Danio rerio: one gene and its partner. The protein of the gene in region 2 purifies or fractionates together with the protein of the main gene of each other region. This does not show direct contact. Links are inferred from orthologs where the notes say so. Each region holds a gene or a part of one and is shown on either strand. Other genes may lie near its edges. The genes, in order: atp6v1f and atp6v1ab.

Evidence for each region.
Region 1: the proteins of atp6v1ab (region 2) and atp6v1f fractionate together in Homo sapiens (co-fractionation; 3 studies listed by BioGRID and IntAct, with this or other methods). This does not show direct contact. The link is inferred for Danio rerio from reciprocal best matches to the Homo sapiens genes ATP6V1A and ATP6V1F.

The regions. Positions count from the first base shown.
Region 1 is NC_133179.1:20,639,610-20,651,020, forward strand, and holds atp6v1f (V-type proton ATPase subunit F), read right to left. Parts: upstream 6,014-11,411; 5' UTR 5,910-6,013; coding exon 5,752-5,909; intron 4,648-5,751; coding exon 4,446-4,647; 3' UTR 3,915-4,445; downstream 1-3,914. Other genes in the region: ragulator complex protein LAMTOR4, read left to right, coding at 6,373-6,375, 6,526-6,642, 7,987-8,104, 8,702-8,799. UniProt on the Homo sapiens protein: Subunit of the V1 complex of vacuolar(H+)-ATPase (V-ATPase), a multisubunit enzyme composed of a peripheral complex (V1) that hydrolyzes ATP and a membrane integral complex (V0) that translocates protons.
Region 2 is NC_133199.1:25,045,764-25,057,454, forward strand, and holds the start of atp6v1ab (V-type proton ATPase catalytic subunit A), read right to left. Parts: upstream 6,605-11,691; 5' UTR 6,543-6,604; intron 5,201-6,542; 5' UTR 5,190-5,200; coding exon 5,108-5,189; intron 4,253-5,107; coding exon 4,124-4,252; intron 3,304-4,123; coding exon 3,089-3,303; intron 2,321-3,088; coding exon 2,183-2,320; intron 2,092-2,182; coding exon 1,940-2,091; intron 1-1,939. Other genes in the region: naa50 (N-alpha-acetyltransferase 50), read left to right, coding at 9,572-9,579, 11,615-11,691. UniProt on the Homo sapiens protein: Catalytic subunit of the V1 complex of vacuolar(H+)-ATPase (V-ATPase), a multisubunit enzyme composed of a peripheral complex (V1) that hydrolyzes ATP and a membrane integral complex (V0) that translocates protons.

The DNA of each region.
Region 1 (11,411 bases), on a different chromosome or scaffold from region 2:
ATAAAAGTTGACAATTAAGTAAAACAGTTTCATTGTGATTCATTATTAGTGCAACATCCTCATATATTTAATCAAAAGCTTGATTACACATTCTTTGAACATTCAGAACCATGCATCATTTTTTGCCAAATCCCAATGGATCATTGGTAAAGTCCCCTGCAACCTCATTTCCAGTCTGTAACAATGCCCCTAGGTTCCACAAGGCACAAGTGGACAGAAAACACCTTCGCCTGAAATGAAAGGAAATTCAGGCACAATAGAAATATTTTGAAAGGATCCTTTTGTCACTATAATGAAATCATTTAAAGGCCATTTTTATGTGATGCAAATTTTAAATCTGGTGTGTGTCAGAAAGAAAGGGTGATGCAGAAAATGCCAGAACGAGACAGGAAGTCATTTGTTTGAGTTTACTGTTGTTATTTTAGGTTTGATTTGTCAGTGAAAATGGACCAGAGCTGCCAATGGCTCTAGTTTAGCTTGGCATTTTAAATTAAAGTGGTCTAACAAAGACCAGGACCTAACCCTAACCGTAACACAATATATATTTAATATGAGTTTAATTAGGAACAAAACAAGCATTCTTTCTGAAATGTTACAAGGGTTGCATGCATATTAATAAACTAATTAACAATTACTTTGGAAAGATTTATTCTATTGTTATAAAAGACAAATGCTAACTCTTTTAATTAACATTCACTTTGCTTTTGAATATAAAGATCACACATCACAGTTGCTAATTAACATTGTGAAAATTTATTTAATTTTATTTTACTTAAGCCCATCGCCTTATATGGAAACACTTTAAATGCTTTAGTTACATATTACAAAAATTACTATTATACAACTGCAGATCCGTATTTAGTTACTTTTTGTTATAGAAGTAACACAATTGATAGATTTGTGACATGCTATAATTTATAAAAACAGCATTTACTTGAGTAAATACATCTTACAGCACTTTTAGATTTCAAAACCTTTTTAAACTATTATTTTTATTATGTACAAGCAAATCCAACATAACTTAAATGCAAATCAATAAATTTCACTTAGTTCACAAGAACTCGCTGTAGACCAACAATTATCCTGATTGAATTTGTGCGGAAATACGGTCAGTAACAGTTATGGCATTCTGTGATGGTGAATATGTGTGTTGTGAAAGGTTTTTGAGTCAGTCTGCAATATGAAAACACATTTTTATTTAACTTTGAGTTACATTAACATTTAGTCATTTAGCAGATGATTTTGTCCAAAGCATCTTACAATTGAAAAGGCGTTTAGTGATTAAACAAGATGAGGTATTACACAAAAGAAGCACTAGTTATACAAAGAACTTGTTTGTGCTCAGGGAATTTAGTGCTAGAGTAAAAGTGCTAGAGTTTTTCGTTATTTTAAGGGGGAGAGAGAGAGAGAGAAAGACAGAGATAGATGTTTGTCAATACCACTCACCTGTGTGAAACACACTTCATAAATGTAGTGTTTTTGTCGGTTAAAGTGTCTATGGGTAATGTCTACTAGTTTAGACACTAGTAATCTAATCTAATCTAATCTAATCTAATCTAATCTAATATAATATAATATTATATAATATAATATAATATAATATGCATTTAAAAAAAAAAAACAAGACTTACAAGAATTTTGAAGGCCTTACAGACCTGTTTACAAAAGAAAAAAAAGTTTGAGTTAGATACAAGCATTATTTTAGCATTCTGTAGAACTCACAATATAACCATATATATTTTCTTTACATGTTTGTCGGAGTAGTAAACTCTGTTAAGTTGCTCTTTGTAGCATTGGGAGAAATCTCCATATTCGAGCCACTGCTGAAATAAAATATATGAAATTCAATATGGTGGAAAAAAATGTTCATAGACAAAATATAGCATGAAAACATATCTTACCTTATGTTCTTGAAGATGGGACCCCCAAAAGTGTAGCTGAGGATCAGAGAACTTAAAATCCAAACAGAAATCATGTTGTTGATCAAACAGCAGAACCGATTTACTGAACAGAGTGATTGTGAATGAAGCAGAACAAAGTTGATTTGAGCTTATATTTCATCCTCTTTCCATTTAAATGCTCTTTAATCTACCAGGAATCTGTATGTATGATGTGTGATTCCCACAGGTAAGAGTAGGTTTTGTCCTTAGATAAGACAGTTTAAATAATGGACAAGATAGATGTGACCAATGTTCCCTAAAATATTCAGGATCTGACAGCGACGGTGTAAAAGCCACCGAAGAATCAATGAATCACTTGCTCTCATCATTGTTAAGTGTTTGACTGAGATATATTAGTAGTCAGATTTCTGTTAGACTTCCATAGTGTGAGTGTACAGTCAGTGATGATACACAGGATTTTCAGGAACCTGCAACAAACAAAGCAGTTTATACAACCAACATCATGTGTGTTTGTTGCCAGCATGATGATATACCTGAGCTCGTAGGCACAATTATTTCTTACCTCCTAAATAGCAGTAAAAATGACATGTAATATTAAAATGTGTTGACAGCTGCTGAGACCTTTTAAGCTAAGAGTGAGAGCATGGACCTCATTGCTATGTCAGCATGATTACTAACTATCCAGACAGTGATTGGCTGATGGAACGGAGGAGTCTGAAAATTCTGTAGAGCGCAAAATATGTTGTATTTTATTTCATGTTCAATTAAAGGTTTTAAAAAGGTGGCTAGACAAAGTTTTATGTTCTTGCTTTTAATGTATTAGACATTAAATAAAGATTTACTTCTAATGGTACAAATTAATGTATTTGCTTAGAAAATATTTAAGCAAATATATCTTTAAATTTGTATTTTATAAATTCAAAAATATATTTCATACCATTTCTGACCATATGAGAATACGCTGTTAAAAGCTAACTACCATCAAGGATTTCTAAAATGTTTATATAGCAAGTTAGGAGCTACTTTTATCCTTAAGATACTTAGTGAATAAGGGCCTTGATATATAACTCAATGACAAGGATATAAGGAATATCCTTTTCCCCATTACACCACCAGCAGAATCCTGATCCATTCAAATAAGTCAAGATTGATTCATGCATTCATGTTGTTTAAACCAAACCAATTCTAAAACTATCTTAATGTCAGAGCAGAAGACTCATCATATTAGACAACCATTTTCCAGTTTTCTATTGTACTAATATTGTAAAAGAGTGCGTAAAAGAGTGCGCAAACTGTAGACTCAGTTTTTTGTTTTTAAATGACTGGAGTGTCACAGGTATCTCTTCTCCTGCAATATTTTATGCGTTGTGTGTGCAGTCTCAGAGTCTGTTTTGATCAGTGTCAGTGTTCACTCTCTAGACTTTAATTTTGATCAGTGCTTGTGTCTGTCCAAGATTGGCAACACTTTAAAATACCATAATAAATGTATTACTAACATGAACAAACAATTAGTAATACATTCAGTACTTATTCATCATTGTTAAAGTTAATAAAGTTAATTTAATTAAAGAGTGTTAGTTGATGTTAACTCAGTGCATTAACCAATGTTAACAAGACCAACTTCGGCTATTATTAATGCATTAGTAAATGTTGAACTAATGGTTAATAAATTATTTTCAAGATTACCCCTACTTAGTTCATGTTAGTAGATGCATGAACTGATGTAGCATTATTCTAAAGTGTTATTCCATGCTATTCTGATTTCTGTCACAAACAAACTCTCTTTACCCACATAGATCCACTCGGGACATTTATCTGACTGTTCTCTAAAATCCCTAGTCACGTTAAATCATCATGACCACATAGATTCCTAAACACATTTTATTGCTGACATGTGATTGGCTGATTGAATTTTAACATGACCAAATCATCATATTTTTATATGCATTATTTGCATTTCTATTTGCATTATTCTAGTCTTTTTTGTATTTGCATATTTTACCTTAATATTTATTTTCCATCACCACAGTATCAATAGAGCATAATACTCCAATTACCTTTAATAACTGCAAATCACATACTTTGAACACATTTTAATTGCATCACATTGAGGAAAGCTTCTTTGAAATGCTTCAAAACAATGACCAATACAATGAGGAAAAAATATATGCATAGCACACCAATTTACAGTAACAGATGTAGAGAGTTTGTTTTCTGTCTAATATTATCAAGTTTGAGAAAGACATTCAGGAACTTAAATATTAAAGTGACAGCATTTAAAAGGAAATTCATAATATATTGAATTTTTATATATGATATATATGATTGTTATATTAAACATATATTTTAAAATAATTATTAGTAGGAGCACTGACAAAAACTATTTCCTTGGGAATGGCAAAAAATACATCACAGAACATTGATTAAACACACATCATTATTTACTCCTCATAATATGCTTTTCAGTTTCAGCGAGATGGATGAGAATACCCAACTCCTTCATCTGCTCAGGCCAGACTGTGAGCCTGCATGGGTAGTAACAGGTTATCGGAAGTCCTCTGCAGAGAACATACCCTTGGCCCGTCGCAGGATGGAGTCTTTGGAGGCATCATATGGATGCTCTTTTGAGGGAATCTCTAGCACAGCCGGGATGGACTGCATGTGGGCATCAATGGCATGTCGAATCATCTCTGCGATGAACTGGTTGATAAGGATGATGCCAATGTCATTGCGAGCAAGGAAACTCCTGTTAGTCATAAACGACAGACATGCTGTAGTTAATGTTGACAGAAAAAAAATTGTACAATTACAAAAATCTACTATTCTCTGCATCTATTTGTTAATCCAAAAATTACAATTCAAAAGGTTATTGGGAAAAGTAATGTTTACTGTATATATTAATGCATAATATATGTGTTAGTAAGACATTTTTTTCTGTATGTCTACTAAGGTGTTATACATAATATAATTTTATTATTGTATTAAATGCATATACAGCGCATACTTTGATGTTTCAAATAACTCTTCTGAAAATTAAATGCAAGCATGGGTGAAATTATAATCAAAATCAGACATTATTGCATATTTATGTAAATACCAAACTACATATTGACTTGGACTTGTACTTATTCATATAGACCATTTCATTGTGGTGATGACATTGGCCTATGCTTGATATCAAAGAAACAATTGAATAATAACTTAATTCTAAAAAAGCTATCATAACATTATTTATCAATAAGCAGGCTCTTTTTAGATTCTCGTAAGCTATAAAAATTAAAAATGTAAAACAGAAAATACGTTGGAACATTTGTTTTTGTTTACATTCCTCAAAATGATCTATCGTCAGAATAAGAAGAGATCAGACAAACATGTTCTTATATTTAAATTATTCAAAATTGATCAGTAGTTTGAAGAATAGTGACAAAGGATATTTAAATGACAATTGTCAATAGGGGCTGCACTGTAATTCATAATATTAATAGTTTGATATGTCTTTAATAGTTTCTTGCAAATATGATTGACAGTTTACTGGTGTATATAAAATATTGTTAAACTAAAAGACATTTAAGTGGGTTTCTTGACAAATTTAGGTAATTATTACTACATAAAAATAATTTATATATAAATGTTTTTTCTAAAATATTTGGCTGATATGATAGATAGATAGATAGATAGATAGATAGATAGATAGATAGATAGATAGATAGATAGATAGATAGATAGATAAACATAAATATTTTTTTAAAAAGCAAGTCTTCATCCATATATTTGTAATGACACATATTTGATAATTAGATTGTAATATATGATGTTGAGTCATTCAGACATTTAGGATCGTGTCACTTACTTGAAGGTCTCCTCTATCTCTGTAACGCTGGTTTCCTTCTCCACCACCAAGAAATTGGGTTTACGGTTTTTATTGAGCTCTCCGATCCCTCCGAGGAGAAATCCGGTGCACGTGTCTTCATCACCGATAACTGCGATTAATTTTCCTCGTCCGGGCATCGTGACTTTGTCTTATATTTTGCTCAAATAAAAGACGCAGAATGGACGAAATGTTTTCCGTTCAGCAGGATCATATGCTTTAATCAGCTGACCACTTCACTTCCGCTTTGCGTAGTCGCGTAAGCGCCTTATTTAGCTGATCTGAGATCTGTGCTGCTCGCGTTAACGACCGACCTGTGTGCGGTGATTATGACAGCGAATCTGATCCTGATACAGATTATTTTTTGTTAAATGCGAGAACAGCGCATAAATCCTAGCAAATTAAATAAAAATCCGCCACGTTTTAGTCATACTAAGATTTTTTATCACATTTTGTACGTTTCCAATGCATATAAACAAAAATAATGTCGAATAAGCAAAACATCTCCTGGAATGACGTTATAAACACGCGACGCTTGATGTCAGTCACGTGAGGCGGGGTGTGAAGGAAAACAGCAGTGTACATTTATCTGCACTGTCTAAAATGGTAAATATAATTCTTACCTTTAAAATATTTGTTTAATTAAATGTTTTTTTTATTAAATGTTTTGTTTTAGTGCATTTAGAACTTATAAAACAAAGATTTTGTAAATAATGTGATTGATGATGCAGTCTAATATCATATGAGCTCTGTTAGTGTTTAATTACAGTATTATCGTGTGTTGAATGTCAGACTACTGCTTTGACTCAAGGCTTGGAGAGAATACCCGATCAACTTGGGTACTTGGTTATTAGTGAAGACGGAGTACTCGCGGTAAGCTGTTAAAATTCATAACTTACATTTTCGGAGAACTTGACATGAGGGTGAAATGCGTTGAAAAGAGAATCCTGATTTGGGCAAATGAGAAATAATTAATTAGAATTCAATGTCTGTCAGTCTTATTGTTCTGTCTGTCTCTGTTTGCCTGTCTACACTTTGAGGCAAAATTATTACGCCTCTACTGATACATATTATTTAAAAAAAAATTCCCAAGTTATGATGAACTGAGCAATGACATTTTCACAGTATTTTCTATAATATTTTTATTCTTGAGAAAATTTTTTATTTCTTTTATTTTGTCTGGAATAAAAGCAGTTTTTAAATAAAAAAATAACAATTTTAATAGGTTAATAGGCCCTTAGAACAAAATAATGGTATTCAATGACTTGCCTAGTTAAACTTATTAACCAAGTTAAGCCTTTAAGTTACTCATTAAGATGAATTCTAATATCTTGTAAAATAACTAGCAAAATATTATGCAGTGTTATCATGGCAAAGACAGATTCTGTTAAAAAATATATATATTACAACTATTATTTTTAAAAATGTGTTGAGAAATCTTCTTCCTTTTGAACAGCCTTCATGAAAATAAATTAAAAAAGGAAAATATTTATTTATTGCCAATAATTGTGCCTTTAACTGTATCTATCTATCTGTCTGTCTGTCTGTCTGTCTGTCTGTTGGACACACCTGGCTCAAGGGGTTATCTCTCTCTCTGTCTCTTTCTATATATTCGATAGGTTCTATGTTTTAATCATATAATCAATTTATCATTTACAGTTGAGTCAGAATTATTAGCCTTGCTGTTTAATTTTAAATCTTTTATATTTTTCCCCAATTTCTGTTTTACAGAGAGATTTTTTTTCAACACTTTTCTAAACATAATAGATTGAATAACTAATGAATTTCTTTTATCTTCGCCATGATGACAGTACATACTATTTTACTACATATTTTTCAGGATAATAGTATTCAGCTTCAAGTTCAATTTAAAGGCTTAATTGGGTTAATTAGGTTAAGGAAGATACTTAGTTTAATTAGTAATTTAATTAACAATAATTTGTTCTGTAGACAAGTTAAAAAAATATATTGCTTGGGGGGGGGGGGGTAATAATAATTGAGTTAAAATGGTATGAAAAGCTGCTTTTATTCTGGCCAAAATAAAACAAATAAGACTTTCTCCAGAGGAAACAATATTATATGAAATAATGTGAAAATGTCCTTGCTCTATTAAACATAATTTGGGAAATATTTAAAAAAGAAAATATCATAGGGGGATTAATAATGACTCCACTTGTCTCAGTTAAGCAGTAAGTGAATGTTTTTTGTAATCTACAGTCGGCAGGAGAGCTGGAGAATGACGAGCACACAGCAGGAGTGATCATGCAGATGGTCCGAACAGCTTGTCGCTTCAGATTACATGGGACTGCAGAGCCCCCATTCAAGCGCATGTCTGGTAAGAAACGCACTTCATTTTTAGATAAATGCTGAATGATGATAGAACAATATTTCACTCATATTTTGTCATTTAATTTTCAAAAAATGTGATGTGAATTATTAAAGTAAACATGCTTGTGTAACATCAGGTTTATGTAATATTCAGATATCACTGTAGTATTAGTGTTTATTTGTAACATTAGGTTTAAGTATTATCCAGATATTTTTACAGTTTGAAATAGTTTTTATCTTTACATTTTGTGTTTTTTCTATTTAAAGTTTAAGCAATTTTGTTATGTATTTCTATCAGTTGTGTTTTTAAATAGGTCTGTTTAAAAAAAAAAAGGTTTTATTAGTTTTTATGGTTTCATGTGTAACCATTTTAAGTCTTTTTTTATCCTCTTGATTTTGTTTAGGAACAAAATAGCCCTAATAAAATAAAATAACCCTCTTTAATTTGTTGTTTTAATTAAATTTATTCAATAAGAAATAATTGATATATGATCATTTACTATTTTACAGTAAATCATTTTTACTTGCTGTGAAAATCCATAACTTCCAAACAAATACTGATATTAATGTATATTTTTTTCTTTCCTTTTTTGTCTGATGTCAGTGATGTTTGAAGACTACGTCTATGCTGTGACCATCTCCGGACAGAAGGTTTTCGTAGTGAAAAGGCAGAACAACCAGCGGGAGCCTGTTATCGTGTAGTAAAGAGGATAATATGGACTGATCTTTCCCACTATTACAAGCTCAAAATGGTGCCCTCACATAAAAATGACCCCGTCTTTACAACCACCCGATGTTTAGCACAATCACACTCTCTTTCTTTCTTAAGGTGAAATTTTGCAATGTTTTGGGGGCCTTTTGGTGATGTCAGGTGTATTTGACCTGAGCCAAAGTAAGTTCATGTGTTTCTCTTATTAGATTATGATGTTACATGGTTCATCTGATTTCTTTTTTTTGGATACAGGATTAAATTGTTTTTATATTTTAGTCCCTTTCATACTTGAGTGGTCACAATTATAGTATTGCTGGACATCATTATAGATTTGCATTAACATTTAACTCCAATAATCCATTAAGCTATAGATTAAAGGATTCATTGCATCATATTTTATGCAGAAATGATGTATTAGCCAAGGAAGCAGTTTCTTTCCATCAATATATAATTATGGTGTTATAATTGCAACTTTCATTATGGATTTCATGTTTCATTTTTAATGTAAAGTGTGAGAGCTTGTAGTGAAAGAGAGTGCACTGAATGCTTTTTGCAGGTGCACGTCTTTGAATAATTGCATTAACAGTAATGTATTAAATAAAATACTATGCACATTTGATTATTGAATGGGTTTAAAATTTTTTGTGGAAAATCTAAGTGTATTTTTAGTACTTTTTGCATTATAATACTTATTTTATTTGCATTATTCATATAAAATATATATTTAATTTGAATTATATTTGGAAGATTTTTTGTATAAATTATTTAATCTAATCTTTTTGTTATTTTTGTATTTCTTTTTCTCAAAAGTGTTTTTATTGAACAGTTAGATTCAATAAATCTGAAACATTTAGAGTTAGATTGTTAAATCTGCAATCTGTATTGCATTATTCTGTATTGCAATCTGTTTTGGGTGTTTCTCACTGTTTGGTTACAGCTGGAAGGGCATTCGCTGCGTAAAACATATGTTGGACATATTGGCGGTTAATTCCGCTGTGGCGACTCCTGATTAATGAAGGGACTAAGCCGAAAAGAAAATGAATGAATATTAAAATAAAATACAAATAAATAATGATATTATTAGTTTCTTCTAAAATAACTTAAGGGTTCATCTTCTTAATGTGATCTAAAACAGGTTGCCAAGTAAGATAAGACATCTTAGTACACCCCTTTTATAACGCATCATATTTTTCCGAGGTTAAAAGGTCTGTAAGCCATTGCTTAAAGGTTGGAAAGGATTTATCCTTCCATTTGAGCAATATTAACCTTCTAGCTTCTAGAAAGTTTTTAATTTTAACCAAAACATATGAGAACATATGCTGGCTCAACATGACATTGGGCACAATTAAGGTCTCTGTTGGTTATTTTATAGATTGGTTACATTTTAATCTATTTCCCTCTTTTATACTATTGTACAGTATGTATGTTTATCTTGTTTAATTAATTAATCCCAAAACAACATATGTTTTATACTCAGTTAGGAGATAACTCATTAAATATAACAATATATTTAAATGAATACATTTTTTTCATTATTATTATTGTTTAATGTTGTGTGCTTTATGAGAGAAAGTCTGGAGAGTCAGAGAATTATAACTATCAAGATAACTGCTATCTACTTATGTATTGTATAATGCTTATTATAAGCTACAGAGTTATTTATTCTCCGATGCTTTAAATGCTCCAGTTTTTGGCAGATCATTGATGTCAATAGTTATTTTATTTATCAGCTGGCAAAAAAAAAGAAAAAAAGAAAAAAGGTTTCCATATATGTTTCTCTCTATTGTTATTGCTTTTAATGTGTGCAAATCCAATTGACTAATATTGTGATGAGATTTTTAAATGTATAGCAAAACTGGAAAGGGTGACACAGGAAAGAAAAATGAGGAAGCAACATGCAGAAAAGACGTTAAAACAGGAACTTATTGCAAAAGTTTAAAGAAGCAAAGTCTGTTTCAATATTTCCTCTACTGCACTACATTTACAAACCGGTCCATTATTTTAGTAATTCTTCACTATTAATGCTTTGACAAAGTTGAAAGACCTTTGCTTTGTGCATTTTTTCAAAAGACTGCATAGAAACCATTTATAATTTCTTAATTTATCCAAATATAAGAACTTTTTAGCACTGAAGTGGGGTTGTGTTTGGTTTTACCTGTGGTTAACGTGATTAAATATGGAAGTAAAATCAGGGCCGGAGTGGGACTCCTTTTCAGCCCTGGAGTTTCAAGCCTCAGACCGGCCCACCTCAGTTCATGACTGACTATATTAAAATAAGGTCATTTCCAAATCAGTTTCTAATGACACTATCATGTCTTTTTTTTTAAAAAACAGCTGCTTTACAACTTCAAATGTTCAACAACCCTAACAGTATTATATGTCTTAACAATAAATATGAAAAAAAAACTTTCCTTAGTCGAGGATCAAACCCGGGTCAGCGACATCGTAACCTAATGTGCGACCCACTGGACCACAACCTACACATACAGTAGTGACTCATCTGACTCATTAACCTGCAGGCTGCATCTTGCTCACGAAGCTGCGAGAAAATAGATAAAAAAGCAGAGCTGCGGTAAAATAATGAATAAAAAGGCTGCGGTCA
Region 2 (11,691 bases):
CATTTGTCCTTGTTAAGTTACATATATTAATTTTAGTAATAGTAATTCATGCAGGATTAAATGCAATAAATTTCAAATAAATCCTATCATAATCCTACAATATATTACAATAGTACATGTTTTATTTTTATCTTTTGCCACTTTATAGTTATTTTAATGTTGTTCATATATATATATATATATATATATATATATATATATATATATATATATATATATATATATATATATATATATATATATATATATATATATATATATATATATATATATATATTAGGGATGGGAAGATTAACCGATATGTATCGATACGCGGTCATGCGCGTGCACGATGCGAGTGCATCGGTTGAGCAGCAGAGGACGAATGAAATTTTGGAAGCAAATCGAGATACATCGGTTTTTGCGAGATGCATCGATTTTTCCGAGATACAGCTTATATTTTTAATATAGAATGTATTTTTTATTTATTAACAAGTGTTGTCAACCTGTTTTTGGCGCATAATTTAATCGACCTACATAAAGTAAGCCTTAGCAACAGATTTGCGGATGTGCACACACTACAACTCAGTGTATCAGGTGTGCGGATGAAGCTAGTGGAGCGCCCTCAGAAAGTGCGAGAAGCAAAACAAACATTTTATTCCCCACTGAGTTTTAAATCTAAAGTATGGCAAGCAACATTATGGATTTAAGGATGGACGACATGACAGGACAGATGCAATTTGCAAAATGTGCCGCGCATCTGTAAAATACGCGGGCAGTACGACTAATCTGAAATCTCACTTGAAGCAGCGCCACGGTGTTGTTGTGAAAGCATCTTCCAGTGTTTCTGCATCCCCGGCTTTCGCACTGCTTCAACCAGCTCCAAAAGTGGTGAGAAAAGCATTGCAAGTTTTTTTTCCGTGCGCAACAGTTCTGCTCGCTCTACGCCAATAACGAATGCTATTGCATTGTTCATCTGCAAAGATATTCAGCCTAGTGTCACGGAGAACGAAGGTTTTAAACACCTCCTCCTGTTAATTTTTATTTAATTATAATAATAATAATATTAATAATAATAATGATAAAAATAATTGGGTGTCACGGTGGCACAGTGGGTAGTTTGACCACCTCACAGCAAGAAGATTGCTGGTTTGTTATATTTTTATTAGCCTGTTGTTTACAGTGACAGTGATGTTTCAAAGCAGCATAACACTGCTAGTTCACAACCTTAAGTTTTGAATAATCAGTGGCAAAATATATCTTTGTAAAACTTGTTTTCATAGTTGAAAAGTTAAATCACAATTCTTGTTGTGCATTGCTAAATTTATTTATGTTGAAAGAGTGCAAATATATACATATTTTTTAATTGATATTGCACTTATACATTCTGTTTATCTTGAAAATACTTAAATAATATGTGCTATATGTTCTAAAATGGCCCTCTACTGTAAACTGACACTCTGGCTCTGAGAGAAGAGCCAGTTTGTAAAAAAAAGTCTTGGTTTTGCTTGGTTTATAAATAATCAAACTCATTCAATGGCACAGCATCCTCTTTCACATCATCTCATAAACTTGATCTAATTAGTGCTGAAATATCGCATTGTATCGTGATATGGGTGTGAATCGTATCGTGTTGCATCGCAATATGTCACAAATGTATCGCTAATATATCGGATCGTATTCTTTGTATCGAGATGCGTATCGGATCGGCATTATAGCTTAGATGCCCAACCCTAATATATATATATATTATATATATATATATATATGCATGTATGTGTGTATGTATGCATGTATGTATATGAAAATTTGGCTTTAGATATTTATCAACTGTCTAATATGCGTAATTTTAAAAGTTAAAATATTTACATGAAAAATGACTTTGTGAACCAGCATTACTATTATGAAAAACCTGGATTTATTATTATAATACAGAAGTATTTCAGAAAGCATGACTCACGGAAAGAGGGCATCCAGGACTCTCTGTCCAGTCAGCAGAGGGTGATTTGCAGGAAGTTTCTCTGTGACGGGACGCACCTGACGCACCGGCCACACCTGCATCATAGTGAACTTCTCTTTCACCCCCTCAAACTCCAGCTCCAACACCACATCCTAACAATAACACACAAACATTGAATTATACATCACAGTAATGGTAATTTTCCTGTTTTTTTGGAAAATGTTTGCATGTTATCGGCCTCACCGAGACATCATAGTTTCCAGGTGGTGCGACGTATGTGACGGTTCCTCTGCTTTTCGGGGGTAACATGATTTTATGTTTAATGAGAGAGTTTTCGAACACGTTCCCATAAATATCACCTCCAGTGATGTGACTGCCAACCTGGACACATGAAAAATCATTTAAATCACTTCATCATTTGACTAATCACGTGATTCCTTTTTGTTATTGTGTTGGTGTTATTTTAAAGAGATTATTTCAGAGACTGTTAAGTGTAATGCTGAGCTGCCTAAATTTAATTGAGTGGAAACAATTCATTAGGTATGCACCCTAACTATATTTAATTTTATATAAAACAACCAAAAGCTCTTTTAGCATTAATTACAATAAAATTAAATTTGAACATCTTTTTTTGAAAATAGACTCATTTTACAAGTCACTTAGAGTTAAACAGCTGAGTTTTACCATTTTTTAATTCAATCAGCCAATCTCTGGGTCTGCCAGGTAGATTTTAGCTTAGCTTAGCATAAATCATTGCATCAGATTAGACCATTAGCATCTCACTCAAAAATTTCCAAAAAGTCTTTCGATAATATTCCAATTTAAAGCCGTGGTGCAGGGAAAAAGTTGCTTAATCATTACACCAGAATGAGAGTATAACTCCTAGCCATACTGACTTAGAAAATAGCAACTTTTAATTTTCCGTCAGTTACATTACATGATGTACCTACAGAAGAATCATGCTTTAAATAGGAAAATTAGCAAATCTCTTTTGATGGTCTAGTCCAACTCAATGATTTATGCTATGCTAAACTAAAATGCTCCTGCCAGACCCAGAGATCAGCTGAATGGATTTTAAAATGGTAAATCTCAACTGTTCATCCATGGTGACTTGCAAAAGACTTTTAACTAGAAATGAATGTCACTTACACGCAAATTCTTTGATGGAGTGAACTCCCATTTGAGATCACGGTTAAGAGCACCAATGTTGACTCCCCTGGGAATGTAGATGCTTTGAGTTAGGTCGTTGATGTCTTTAAGGGGACGCTGAATACCATCAAAGATGGAGCCCATGATTCCTGGCCCTAACTCCACAGAGAGGGGCTTCCCTGTGCGCAGGACAGGGTCTCCGACTGACACACCAGCTGATGAGAGCTCAGGAAAACCACAACACTGTTTGACAGATTCTACATACAGAGCATCAGCTATGGCAGCGATTCACCTTTTTCTGATACCAGTTTGAGATTATATTCCAATGAATTGAAAGTAGTCATTTTAAATAATAAAGTTGTGCTAAAAAAATAATCCATATACACAGTGAAGACTGTGGGAGAGGTACGCTTGGCATTGTGCTTTATCCGCTATGAAAATAACATCTTTATCAAGCATATCTCATACATTCATTTACCTTTCAGCTTAGTCCCTTTATTAATCTGAGGTCGCTACAGCAGAATGAACCACCTACTTTTCCTGCATATGTTTTACGCAGTGGATGCCCTTACAGCTGCAACCCATCTCTGAGAAACATCCATACACACTCATACACTTCGGACAATTTAGCCTACCCAATTCACCTGTACCGCATGTCTTTGGACTGTGGGGGAAACCGGAGCACCCGGAGGAAACTCACGCGAACATGCAAACTCCACAGAGAAACACCAACTGACCCAGCCAAGGCTCGAACCAGCGACCATCTTGCTGTCAGGCAACAGCACTACCTACTGCGCCACTGCGTCCCCTATCAAGCATATCTAATAAGGTAGCTTGTTAATTCTAGTAAGTTGCCTTTTGACATTTGATGGGAAAACTGTGAGGAAAATAATGCCACCTCATTGTACCCAGTTTTTTAACACTTCACTGATTGTTTAGTCTAATGGAAGATACTCCCATCATTTACAAAAAGCATTATGTAGGAAAAAAGGTGGATTAAAATTGTGTCATGTCCTGAGGTAATAAATAGGATACATGTCTCCTCATAGACCTGAATGGTGGCCATATCACCCTCCAGTCTAATGATCTCTCCCACAAGCTCACTGTGACCCACTCGCACCAGCTCGTACATAGCAGCTCCTGCCATACTGGAGGCTGTCACCACTGTAACACAAGTAGAAGAATTGTGACAATTAGTGGAACCTGTACTATGAATGACTCGAAGATTCAAATAAACTTCAATAAATGATGGGTTTGAAAAAATATTATAATAAAAATGTTCATCAGAAGTGTCATATTAATCCATTCATTCATTCATTTTCTTTTCGGCTTAGTCTCTTTATTAATCTGGGTCGCCACAGTGGAATGAACCGCCAACTTATCCAGACCATGTTTTATGCAGCAAATGCCTTTCCAGCCGCAACCCATCTCTGGGAAACATCCACACACAACTATTCACACACATCCACTATGGACAATTTAGCCAACACAATTCACCTAAACCAAATGTTTTTGGACTTGTGGGGGAAACCGGAGCACCCAGAGTCATACTAATCCAACAAAACTAAAATTAAAAATAAACAAATCATTAAATCTGGTGACATTAAAAAATTATTAAAAAGAGAAAAATAAACAAAAATTTAAAAACAAAACAAAAAACTCTACTATATAAAAATAGACACCCTATCAACATAATATCCCAACAAAATTAAACAATAATATAGAATAAAATGCAAAGATTCGGGTATACTTAATAAAAACCTAACAAGGAAAAAGTATGGTCACATTAATTAAATTAAATCTTTAGGAAAAAAAATAAAATTAACAAAAAATAATTAACAGCTTTGGTCACATATTAACAAAAAAAAAAGAGGAAATAAAAAAGGAAACAATAGAGAAAAATAAAATTAAAAGCTTTAAATATTAAAAACATAAAATGAAAAAAAAATGTAAAAAAAAAAAACTCATGGTAACCTATTAATTAAAATCAAATATTATGACATTTTTATTTGTACTAACCAGGTCCAGATACACCATGCACATATCCAAATTGTCCCTCCCGCTCCTCATCTCGGATTTTGGCCAACTTGGAGAAGTCCATTTTTAATGTGTCTGATATGAAATTATACAAAACGTGGAAAGATAAAGCAGATGATTATTTGGATTACTTTCTGTACCTAATATTACACTTCCTAGACCTATAAGCTCCACGTGGTTGTTGTATTTATCCCTATTCCTATATAGTGGTATAAACATAGCTATAATTTAAAATTATGTTTCTGTTACATTTTCTGTTACACGTTAAGTCATATAAAATGCAAAAGGAAACCAAATGTTTAACAGCCAATTTATATTATAAAGCATTCCATACAAGTCTAACATGAAACTCAGTCACATGACCAGCAGCACATGACACTGACTGACTGTAAAAAAAGAAATCATGGTGAGGAAGTAGGAAAAACTGTTGAGTAAATGTGGATAACATTATATTTTGTAGTCCCGAATTTAAATTAAAATTGATCAAATCATTTATAGTTAACAGACAACTAACTATCCCACAAAGACTAGAATAAAACGCATGACGTTGACAATATCATCCATAAAAATAGCCATTACTGGTTATTAAAAGCCTCATGAGGAACCAGTGGAACTTCCATGTTTTTGTGAATTTACAATCACATGATGCTCATATGAGATTTTTGATTAAGAGAGACAATTCGTTTATTTAGTGTAAAACTTTGCTTTTGCCTGTTTGGGTGTTGGTTTACAGACAATTTTAGCATATGTGAGTTAGTCAGCAAACCTAGCGTGTTGTTGTTAATTGGAAAGCAGCAGATAAATATTCTAAGCGGGCAACTACATATCTCAGTGCCCAAATAGAATCTTTTCAAAGTCAAAAACGACAAGATTAAACATAACATATTATTAAATATACATTATTTCAGTGTATTACATATTTTTAATGCTTGCCGCTTTAGGAGATCGATCTGTAAAGAGATGCTGCATGATCACATGATCGCGATGCTGCGATAGAATTTGACCTTTGCTGAAATCTTTGCTCATTTTTCGTGTCCCGTTAGTTAAACCGATTGATCTCACAGGTTTGTAAGCATTTCAAATCTCTTTATATACAATATATTTAAATATTTCAGCAATCGGAGTAGGATTATTCCCAATGCTGCAATAAAAACAAACATGTAATAACGTTAAGCAAACAGAATGAGCTGCACGCTGAGGCGAAGCGGACATTCAGATCGACACAGAACACAATTATACACTACATACAGCAGTATAATGAGCTGTTTATGAATGTTATGGATTATGAATGGCTGCAAAGAGAATGGGGAAAATCCTAACGTTAGTCCTATTTTTTGGCTGGCTAATCTAAATGTACATTTCTGCAATAGCGCAACAGCGTGAAAATGTTATGGTTGTCCAAAAAAAGAGTAAATACCTCAGATGATGAGACAGTCTGGGTCCTTTAGTGAGATGAAACGTGAGCAGCAATGAAAAGTCAGCTGACTTCATTCAGTCGGTCCAGTCCAGTTGTGAGATGACGTCACAGCCTGTCTCCCTATGCAGGGTCAAAGGTCAACTGCGCGTGCGTGAAACTCTACATTGCCCCCTAGTGTGTGTGGAAAAATAGTGCTGTGAAGGTGGTTCAGCATTTATGCATGCATTAATCCCTTCTTTATTAACCATTACTAGACTCAAATAATTAAAATTTTGTTTCAAATTGAGTTTTAAAAATACCTATTTAACAAGTCCTTGATTTTTTTTCTCATATTTACACATTTTGTAAATGCAAGTTTTAATATATATATTTAAAATAAAGTATAAAAAATGAAACAAAAAATTAAAGGATATTGTAAGCATATGTTAAATTAATTTAGTAAAGATACAGATCTTCTAAATAATGTTACCCATTTCAGTATTATCACTAGAGGAAAGAATAAGAAAACTTAAACAATAATCCAAGAAACTCAACAGGGACTGTGCTGTGGCTTTTATAAATAACAGAGACATGGACGATTACACAAATACACTTTTTTATGGAAAGGATGAAAAATTTAATAGGGTACAATATTTACTATTAGGGCGGCACTATGGCTCAATGGTTAGCACTGTCGCCTCACAGCAAAAAGGTCAGTGGTTTGAGTCCCAGCTGGGCCATTTGGCATTCTGTGTGGAGTTTGCATGTTCTCCCTGTGTTGGAGAGGGTTTCCTCTGGGTGCTCTGATTTCTCCCACAGTTCAAAGACATGCGCTATAGGTCAATAGGATGAACTAAATTGACCATAGTGGATGTGTGTGAATGGGTGTGTGTGGGTGTTTCCCAGTACTGAGTTGGAGTTGGAAGGAAATCCATTGTGTGAAACATATGCTGGGTAAGTTGTCAGTTCATTCCACTGTGGCAACCCCTGATGAGTAAAGGGACTAGCTGAAGGTAAATTAATGAATGAACTCACAAGTAACATGTTTGAGGTAACAGAAATGTCCATTTAAAAAAGTAGTGGAGATAATGCTTAACCAAAAAGAGAGAAATTGCTGCAAAATATAACATGAAAATGGAAACCAGAGAGCGTACGTTTGAATCTAGTGTAATTCACATACTTTGATCTTCTCATATGGACAGTACAAATACAGTGTATTTCACACCAACAAATCTTGTTTCCCTTCAATCTGTCATTTAAATTTGATTCTCCTTCCACACTTCCTTCCCATCGCTTGCTCTTCTCTCAACTCAGCTCACTTTGAAAGATCAAGTCAAAAGACAAATGTTCTCTGCCAATAAGTGATTTTAAGCATCATCTTTGGAGGCTTTTCTGTCTTGGTATTCAAGTGTCAAAAGGTTCAGCATGGTTCAGATCAGATCATCTTATATGCTAAACACTGCCTTCTAAAGTCATTTGTTTATTTTCCTTTGGCTCAGTCCCTTTTTATTAGGGGTCACCACAGTGGAATGAACAACCAATTAATCCAGCATATGTTTTACTCAGCGGATGCCCTTCCAGCCGCAACCCACTGTGAAAAACCTATAAACTCTTGACACACACTTACACACTACAGCCAATTTTGTTTTATCCAATTCACCTATATCGCATGTCTTTGGACTGTCAGAGGAAACCCAGGCGAACATGGAGAGGACATGTAAACCCCACACACAAATCCCAACTGGCTCAACTGGGACTCGAACCAAGAAGAAGCCACCCCTACCTTTAAACTGACTATTGTAATTGTATTGTAATTGACAAAACACATGTTTACCTGACAAGCAGTGATGGAAAGAGTACTGAACATCATACTCAAGCATAAGTACTGTTATTTGCCAAAATAATGCAGTGCAAGACACTTGTAAATGTATCTGTTTTCTAAATACCACTCGATGTGTGAGTAAAAGTAGCCTTTCTAAAAGTACTCAAGAAGAGTAGTGATTAGGCTATCGCATACTATGCTGTGATTAATAAATTATTTTACCTTACACCCTTCAAACTAAAAATGTAACTTTCGTTGGTGGCATTTTCTTTTAAGGGTGTTTCTACGTGTAAGTAGACAGTCATGGACTATACATTTAAAATGTCAGATTAATTTAATTTTAGAACACATTAAATGAATATATGCACCTATAATAAGTCAACAGATTGCAGCAAGTTGATGCATTTATATGTGGAGTGAAATCTGTGTAACCTAAGGGGCAAAATCTTGCTGTAATAAGCAAATAAAGGAATTTTTAACAGTGTAATTTTGAACACGGTATTGTGAGTTTAAATATAAGTTTGAAATACAAGCCAACACAAACTCAAAACAATAAAACCTGGTCTGGTTTCACAAACAGGGAGAAGATAAATGTTTTATTCCAAGGACAACACTTTTATTTATTTTACAAAATATTCTTGTATTAGATCACGTCCATGAAATATGTTTTTATTTTTTTTTAAATCCTTCTAAGTCTTTAGAGAAGGAGATTATACAACATTTTATTTGGATTAAAACAATAAGACTTGTATTATTAAGTCACAAAAACGCAATTTCCCGTTTTTTTTCTATTTCCTGTTGCTAGTTGTCAGTGGTGAAGGTTGACAGCAGCAGCCTCCCAGAATTCAAGGTTGCCAAATCAACCATCAGTAACCACCGACTAATTACTTATGTATAGTCGTAAATGCCTATTTCGGGGTTCAATCTCAACTCATATGACATAATTTATATCTATAAATGAACATTATCGATAAATCAACTATAAAAAACAACTAAAATATCGTTTTCCTAATTCACAATCTGATCTAAGTTATATGTGTTGGTTTAATAGGAAAGACTTGGCAACCTTCGGCCACAGCACAGAGGCAAATGCGGACTGCTTAGCTTGTGTGCTAGCAACATACATGTGGAGGGGATCACATCCCAAACTCTGCCCAAATTTCCCTTTAGACTGCCAAATACCGCCAACTGCCCCTGTATCCCTCACAACAAACGTGTTTTCTTCAACATGAAAGGGTGAGTAGACGACAGAGAAGGCTCTATTCCTCTCAAGTAAAGTTTTCCCCTCTCTATTCTCTTTTTTCCAGCAGGGGGGCAGTGGAGTTGCTCTAATGCTAGCTGTTAGCTCTCTGCGCGCTTAATGTGGAGAAGAGACATTTGCGCCGCGTTTTTACACCTAGTTTTACCTTAATCTTTTCCCAAAATCTCCAGAAAATAGCTTAAAAGTGCCTCATGTAATCTAGCACCAGATTAAATCTTATGCCAGTACAAACGGCACGAGTGAAGTCCGTGCCAAACTGGATCGTGTGTCGAATCTAAATCCGAAAATGTTGAGTCAGTCTTCAAGTTGCTATCTTGGTTAGCAAGCCAATCTGAAACCTCTCCCAAATGGGCGCCCAGATGGATCGTTACATTTAATAGCAGTGTATTAAAGCTTGTTGCTGTCATGTTGGGGTTAATGTGAGATTATTTTGATGTAAGAATTGAAATGTGACACACGTGATGGAGTGAGCTTAGCCGCATAGCATGTCCTCTTTGAAAATGACAGAACAAGTTCATACGGTCTTAAAACACTTTATGAAGGACGATTCTTTAACGTTTGATGGATGAAACGATGCATAAATATGTCTAATATGCTACGTTAAGCTCACTGTAGTGGTTTGCTGTGACCATGTGTGTAGAATAAAGAAAAGTCAGCGATATTTAAATTTTTATTCTAAATCCAATTCTGTTTTATATCATAAAATATTTCATATTTTAAAGTTTTGAATTCACATCTGTAAAAAAGTGGTACCCAGCCCTGTTCCTGGAAGGCCTCCAGCAGTACACATTTATCCGACACACCCATTAAGAGTCTCTGCTATGGAGCTGAAGGGAATCAGGTGTTTCACTAGAAAAAAACATACTAAATGTATTTTTAAGGGGCCCTTCATGAACAGAAGTGGTGCACCATTGCTTTAAAAGTCTGCAATATCATCTGAAACGTATTTACTCTCATCGCTTTACCAAGCATTGGTAAACTTTATTATCTAACTTGTTTTAATCAGTGGACTTTGATTTCAAGACCGTGTATAGTAGTATAGGCATTTGTTCTGTGATCATAAGTTCTGTAAACTCTATTTAGTGTGTATGTTTTTCTCCTGTCAACTCATGCTGGTTGTTCAGTGGCAGTGGTGAACATGTGACCAGCAGCTGTTGTTGGTGTTGGGCTTCAGTTTGCTGCCTCCCTATAAATACCTGCTTTTTGCACTGCTGGTTTACGGTGATCATAGTTATACAAGAAATGTGTAGTTTTGTGGGTGCACCTTTAGGGTATCTCTCTCTCACACACACCCACACACACGAAAGATAAATGAGGATGTGCTGATACTAAGTTATTATAGGGGTAGTTCACCCCCCCCACCCCCACCCCCCCCCCCACCCCCCCCCAAATACAATTTTCTCACCATTTATTCGATCTAAGGTGTTTCCAAACTTTTACAAATTTTTTTCTTCAGTTGAACACAAATGATGTCGGAAAAAAGAAACCAAATTTAAATTAATGGCTGTTTTTTTCCTATCATTTTTCAGTATATCTTCCTTTGTTCAACAGAAGAAACTCAAACAGGTTTGACATAAGTGGACTATGAGGAAACAATGACAAAGTTATAATTTTTAGGTGAACTATCGCTTAAATACAATACAAATTTTAATATAAAATAAATGAAATACTCTGTTGCATTCAACTATAGAAGTAATTTAAGTATTACACCATTAAATGTGATTAAATAGTGAAGATCATGTATACATTATTAATTTTACTGTTCCTGAAGTTCAATGAGCACAAATGACAATGATGTATAAATCTAATATTAGGTAAAAATGGATATCCATAGACGCTTTGTATGCAGCAGAATCAACTGATAACTGATATTGTACTAATATCTTGGGCTTTTCTAATAGTAAAGCTGTAATATTGTCATTTATGTGGACTGTTTGCTGACCTGACATGTAAAGAAAAGGACATTGTTTGTCAGTTCACAGCTAGTTGACCATTCTGCTTTTGTTCTAGTAGCCGGATCGAGTTGGGGGATGTTACACCCCACAACATTAAACAATTGAAGCGTCTGAATCAAGTGATCTTCCCTG